Bombyx mori: one gene and its partner. The protein of the gene in region 2 binds, or shares a complex with, the protein of the main gene of each other region. Links are inferred from orthologs where the notes say so. Each region holds a gene or a part of one and is shown on either strand. Other genes may lie near its edges.

Region 1 (2,735 bases), on a different chromosome or scaffold from region 2:
AGTTTTTTTACTTCTTAGTGTCTTCTCAGTGGGTCGCGTTTCCGATCCGGTGGTAGATTCTGCGAAGCACGGCTCTTGCTAGGGTTCGTGTTAGCAACGTCGTCAGGTTTGAGCCCCGTGAGCTCACCTACTAGTTAAGGTTACGCTGATATAGCCTCTCAGCTTAAGTAGGAAAAAAAAAGCAATATGCGATCGAGTAAATCAGTTTGAACATTGTTCGTGTATGTCCAGAGCTGGGTGGGGGCGGCGCGGCGGGCGGCGACAACCAGCTGGCGCGGTGGTTCTCCCCGGAGTTGCTGGCACGTGCCTCGGCCGGGAAGCTGCCCTCCGTGCACGTGCCCAACGCGCTCTCGCTGGAGGAGCTGGAGCGACACCACGCGCCAACCCCTCCCGCGCGCAACTGAACCCGCCCTGCAATACATCGAAACAACTGAACCACACCACACGGCTCTCCGTCGTAAACATCACTGCTCTGTATGCTCAGTGCGAGTTTTTTAACGTTCTCGATAGCGTAAAAGTTAACTCTAATTTGTATGCATTTGGAACAGCGCCCCTAGCGGCAAACGTAGGCAAACGTTGCAGCTTTGTAGCGTTTTTAACGCTCTCAATAGCGTAAAATTTAAATTTGTATGGAGTTGTAACGTTGGCCGCTAGAGGCGTTGTTTTAACAGCATACAAATTTGAGTTAACTTTTACGCTATCGAGAACGTTAAAAAAAAGTTTACTCTAATCTGTATGGGGTTGAAACGTTTACCTACGTTTGCCGCTAGAGGCGCTGTTTTAGCTGCATACAAATTTGAGTTAACTTTTACGCTATCGAGATCGTTAAAAAACGAACACTAAGCACACTAGTATTAGAATATAACAGCGGACTTAGGTTGCGACTAGATAATTGACGACCTTTTTTGTTGATCTCTAAAACGTTTAATACTGTATCGTAACAAAGCAAGATCGTTCACTTTTGAACACACAAAAATTGCCGAATATTGAAATGTTTATCGTATGTCAAAACAACAATGCGTTTAGTGTTTAATGTCATATAAGAAAATTGTGCTGCTGTATTCTATACGGGTGAGTTCACAGAATCGAATTGTTTCTCAATCCAACAACGTTTACTAATTTTTACACTACGATTATTATTATTATTTTTCGACTATCAAAAGTAAACGGCTACGGAAGAAATACCGCCTTTTTAGTATAACAAACTTTGAGAAGCTACGGAAAGATTGGAAAGACTAAAAATGAACAGAAAGACATGTGATGTGTGTCGTCTCGCATTACGATAAAACTATGGACGATTACGAAGATTGACGACCGTAGCATTACAGTTGATTCGGTTCAATTTGATATTGTAAATGCCATTAATTGAATTGAATACAGCCTTAGGTCTCATTCGCACTAGAGTTTTTTTTAGCGCTCGTTAAAAAATCGTTCAAATAGAACATTCATTTCCTAGTGTATGTTCATATGTCAGCGCTTTTTTATCCCGCAGTATTGCATTTTGAGCGCCAAGCGTTGTGCGTTACGGATTACACGTCACATCGAGAAAGTTATAAAAGCGCCAACGCCGAGTTTTAACGCGACGTTTTTAAAACGCCCGTGCGAATGAGGGCTTATTAATGGTGAAACATAGGAAGCGTAAATAATAATGGCTGTGATTGACCAATGGGCGGCCACTCGGATTAGTCTATTCGTGCTACGTCATTAACGAATTTAAGGGGTCCTTTGTCAGCGTGAACAGTCTAGAAGTGATGACGTCACGGAACGTTCTCCCTCCCACTGTTATCGTCGAGAATAGGGATGTTGAAATTATCGAAATTTTTGCTCAATTTAAAGACTTAACGTTTTGTTGTTGTTCACCTATCGATTTTTCTTGTACGCTTTCAAAAGCTCCCGCCGAACGCTAAAAGCTAAGAATTAACGTCCCTGACAAGAAATGTTTTTAAATTGAGTAATGTATTATTTTTTTTTCGGAATTTGTAAACATCCCCGTGATTGAGAATAATGTTTTTCAAATGACGTAATGTGCATTTTGAGGTACGGGTGTCCGCTCGATAGTGTTCAGTGTGTTTAAAAGCTTGGAATTGTCGATGAAAATTTGAAAACACAATAAAAAAATTCAGACTAGTACAACGAGACTGATCGTACAATTAATTGTTTGTAATCATCGAAATACTATTTAAAAAAAATAATAATACATAAATATAAATTTAAGAAATGTACTTAAACTATAAAACTTGTTAAATGTTAAACATTATTAGATAGATTAAATGTACGTATTGATGTCTCGTCGGTCACGAATTGAGAACTTTTTGGCGGTTTTTTTTTCGAATCAAACTGTTTTTTTTTTTTAATTTAGCCTCTACTAAAAATTTTAATGAGCTATTCGGTTATATTGAATATATTTTTTATTAATCACATTGAATAAATATCAAGTATAAATATGAGAGTATGGCAACCCTAACTGGTTTTCCGGAAGCGGCATCGTTCGGAAACCGGTTACCATGGTTACCGCGTTACACACAAATCGCGTCCAAATTTAACCGTTTCCTTTTCTAGCTTTTAAACGAACTCACACTAGTACCGTCCCAAGCCAAAAAAAAAAATACATTAGCAATAACAGAGTCATTGACGTGACTGTCTTAAAATTGTAATGTCAAACGGAAATTTGTAACGTTCCGAGTCCGATATGAATGTGCTCGCATCACGAATAGTCAAATGAATAAATAGAAATT
Region 2 (3,996 bases):
TCGGTCAAACATCCTAACGGATACAGTCGTTCCTTTATTACCGGTTAATAATTTCAATGAACCATCTTCCAATTTTATGTCGGTGGCTAGGATCAAATTTGGTATATATTCTTTTAATAGAGTTTCCAATTGTCCAAAGATATCTTTTTGGCCGTTTTCATCTTCCAGACGGGCCGCTTCAATCGAGAAATCCAATAAGATATTGTGAACTGACATTTTACAGTGATGTATTAAATTTTGTTTTGTTACTGTATAATCTAATTATTAACCGTCGATTAAGCCGGCAAACCAGACGACGCACACGGAGTTTTGAAACCGATCAATAATGTGAATTGCATAGATTATACACTTTGGTGAATTGTGAATTACAAATTACAATTTTATTATGAATTTATTTCCGGTCTGTGCTCGCATAGGGTTGTGCATGCCTTTTTGGCGGGAACTCGAGAAGTGAAGTTGTGTGATTTGTTTTATTTTGTCTATTTAGTGTTTCTTCAGGTGTAAATGTGTAATAACGGTGATTTATTAACTGTTTAGTATCTGAGAAAGTGCACAAATGTGGGAAAATGAAACAAAGCCGCTGAACGTAGCTTCTCGGGATCCTCCAAAAAGTCCACTGAAAAAGTCTCAGTAAATGATCACCATTTTACTGAGGTTATATTTCATCTCATTTCGTTTCATTTTCATTTCATTTCATTTGACTCCATATTATCATTTTTCATAAACATAAGAAAATAAATTAAAATAAGACTTAATGGTCTTAGTTACCAGGTCATAAAATCCCTTTAAAAAAAGAGGTTGTGCATAGATAAGGATATCATACGATGATTTCTATTAGCTAGTTCTAAATAGAGGTCAGCAGCGAAACAACTTTTCACAGCTATGCTTTGGTATATTGCTGGTAAGACAGGTGGCTACTCTGCTCAAAAGTTTTCGAATGGCAATCGCACGCTGTAAGGCGCATTGTGGGTAGGCCTTTCACAACGGTTCGAAGGACCGACCTGGTGAAGGTCACGAGATCTGCTCGACTGGTCACTGTAGCCAACTTCGGAAAAGGCCTGTGTTTATAAGGTGATGATGGAAATGCCGTGATTTAATATTTTCCATTTGCCCAAAACACGTCATTTCGGATCCTCGCGATCCACTATCGGTGCTTTTAGGCACCCCCCAGTACTGGTGACCATTCTCGTCACTCCTCTCGAATGCGACGAAGGGTTCGGCGAGCAAATTAACCCTGAGTTAATCAGCCCACTGAGTTTCTCGCCGAATCTTCTCAGTGGGTCGTGTTTCCGATCTGGTGGTAGATACTGCGAAGCACTGTTCTTAATAGGGCTAGTGTTAGCAAATTCACCAGGCTTAGCCCCGTGAACTCGCCTACTCGCTTCGTGAAGCTGGTATAATCCCATGAGATCACCAACATAGGTAGACAAAAAAATGACACCCTTAAATAAATCTAGACCATGATTAGCGCACATCCACTTTATAAAATAATAAATAATTTACGCGATTTCTGATTTGGCAACCCCGTTGACTCTGTCGCTCCTTTTCGTAGGAAATTTGCATCGTTATCCTCTCAAGATATGGCTGGAAATACTACAGAAGAAGTAGAGGTGGGTAGATGTAATTATTAAGAAAACAAAGTAATTTTCTACCTCGTTTTGCCGGTTATACAATCGTAAAACCTATAATTTTGCCGCAATTTGCTGATGTGGCTTCGTTAACTTTCACTGTTACATTTGTTAGCATAATTGTCTAGTTTTCAAGTATAAATTATAACTTTACCTCGCTCGAGTGGTTTTCTGTGTAAAAATATTCCGGATTAAGTCGTTAAACGACTTCTACGAAAATAACAATATTTTTTTTAGGTTAGGTTCACTAATAAAAATGACCTGTGTTTTTAAGGGGTCTACTACCACTGAAACGAAGACCAACAGTAACGCGGAGGTGCCCCCTGAATTTTTGATCAAGCACCCGTTACAAAACCAGTGGAGTCTCTGGTTTTACGACAATGACCGAAACAAAACATGGGAGGAGAATCTTATTGAGTTGACTACATTCGACACAGTTGAAGACTTTTGGAGGTAAAGGAAAATGCCGGTTACAGAAGTAAATTATAAATTTCATACATTTTAGAAGTACATTCATGCAACTTCTATACATTTGCAACCTAGATGAGAAAGTAAATTCTGATGGAACCTGAACTTAAACAGAATTAATTTTGCTCAAGATTAAACTAGAACACTTTCTTATAGAGCTAATTATTACGTATCTATTATAATTAATGTGATTAGTTGTCGATTTAATCATCTGTTCTTTTATTTACTTGTTATATTTTCTATAATAATAATGTATCTAACATGTAGAATGGAGTGATGGATGCCATAGGTCCATGACATATTTCCCTTTCGCGCACCAATACATCAAGTATGTTCAAAAAATCATTGAGGGGTTTTTGCACAAAAAACTTTTAAGAAATACATCAAAAATAATGAGTGACTTATGGAACCAGTGACTACTCATTGCTTACTGATAGATGTCAAATGGCAGATACAATGTGTCTGTCGTAGCCCCCTGTGCTAAACATGGTTTCTATTTTTGTCAACATGTATTCATTCATTAATTCTATAGATTCATTCCATTATAATAAGAAAATGCCAAAAATTACTCTGAGTAGTCAATTTAGTAATTAGTAGGTTTTTATTTAAGCAAAACTGTTATTGCACATTACAGATTGTACCATCATATTAAGCTACCGTCAGAACTTCGCCAAGGTCATGACTATGCAGTATTCAAGCAAGGCATTCGTCCTATGTGGGAAGACGATGCTAACAAGATGGGAGGAAGATGGCTTATCAGTCTTGAGAAAAAACAACGCTTTACTGATTTAGATAGGTTCTGGTTAGATGTGGTATGTTAAACTTTTTTATTATATACCGTTTTAGAATACTTCTTTTTTGAGTATCAAGTTTGACATAATGAAAGGAAAAGATTTTCTAAAAATATGACAAGTTTTTCTGAGCACATGTTTGTGAGTGAATATTAGCTTGATTGCACTATCCCATGTTTATAAACATTTAATAAGATGTTGTAGCTTATTTAAGATCATTGGTTTCTAAGAAACCACAAATCATGCCTCAAATAGTTAAGGCTGCCCACTCAAATCCTGTTGAATATTAGAATACAGTTACAGATAGAAACTGTATTGTAGGAAGGAGATGAAGGATCATCTCCTATCTCATTACCTACAAGCTGTATGCTTGGCTCTATGTTCTGTTGATCTTTGTTTGAAGTAATGTGGATGTGTGGAAGGATGTGACCAGTAAGCACCTACAACAAGGAACCAGAGATGTGTGTGAGATGCATTAAAATTGAAGATATTGTATTTAATTTTCAGGTTCTTCTTTTAATTGGTGAAAATTTCGAGAATTCAGATGAGATTTGTGGTGCTGTTGTTAATGTCAGACCAAAAGTAGATAAAATTGGTAAGTTTCAAAATAAAAATCTTCATTTTCTTAGTGAAATTACATAACATTCTAAGTTCTATGAATATCTAGAGGGTTTTGTTGTGTTCTTGTTAACATGAATAATAAGTAATGACATTAGCCAAGGTCATGTTGGAAAACGAGCCAAACACTAACAGAGCATCTGTTAAACAAACATAATTAGTAAATGCACAACTCACATTATAGAATTATCTAAAGTGATTTGTGAATTTAAATTGTATTATACTATGCACAAATATAAATAAATTAAACTATCTGCTGTACTGTGTTCTCTAATTATATATGCAGTAGTGCATATAATTATCTTATTATCTATGAGCACGTACAATACTGAAGTATCAAAGGAAACTGTTTATCATCACAATATGTATTAGTTTAATTTGTTTAGCTTGTAATTGATAATGATTAAAACATTATGGATCCTTATAAACCCTAAAATATCTGTAGTGCAGAGGAATAAATAAAAAAATATACAGACTGAAAGATAAAATTC

What was found. Proteins that work in one complex are often made in the same cells at the same time.
Region 1: the proteins of mRNA cap-binding protein eIF4E (region 2) and eukaryotic translation initiation factor 4E transporter are in contact, whole or in part, in a crystal structure (PDB 4UE9), measured with the Drosophila melanogaster proteins. The link is inferred for Bombyx mori from reciprocal best matches to the Drosophila melanogaster genes eIF4E1 and 4E-T. Residues at the interface, in NP_001261626.1 of Drosophila melanogaster: Lys80, His81, Pro82, Leu83, Met84, Tyr91, Glu93, Asn105, Ile107, Thr108, Val113, Glu114, Trp117, Ser118, Leu119, Tyr120, Asn121, His122, Ile123, Lys124, Tyr135, Leu174, Asp175, Leu178, Ile181, Gly182, Glu183, Ala184, Phe185, Asp186; in NP_726618.3 of Drosophila melanogaster: Arg9, Tyr10, Lys12, Leu15, Leu16, Leu18, Arg19, Glu21, Lys23, Ser24, Arg25, Gln29, Cys30, Ser31, Arg33, Gln37, Leu39, Gly40, Phe41, Trp42, Lys43.

Annotation. Positions count from the first base shown.
Region 1 is NC_085122.1:3,354,378-3,357,112, reverse strand, and holds part of eukaryotic translation initiation factor 4E transporter, read left to right. Parts: intron 1-231; coding exon 232-404; 3' UTR 405-2,735. UniProt on the Drosophila melanogaster protein: eIF4E1-binding protein that regulates translation and stability of mRNAs in processing bodies (P-bodies). Probably plays a role in P-bodies to coordinate the storage of translationally inactive mRNAs in the cytoplasm and prevent their degradation.
Region 2 is NC_085128.1:2,392,099-2,396,094, forward strand, and holds the start of mRNA cap-binding protein eIF4E, read left to right. Parts: upstream 1-1,173; 5' UTR 1,174-1,580; coding exon 1,581-1,610; intron 1,611-1,902; coding exon 1,903-2,081; intron 2,082-2,730; coding exon 2,731-2,908; intron 2,909-3,394; coding exon 3,395-3,482; intron 3,483-3,996. Other genes in the region: spermine synthase, read right to left, coding at 1-216. UniProt on the Drosophila melanogaster protein: Recognizes and binds the 7-methylguanosine (m7G)-containing mRNA cap during an early step in the initiation of protein synthesis and facilitates ribosome binding by inducing the unwinding of the mRNAs secondary structures.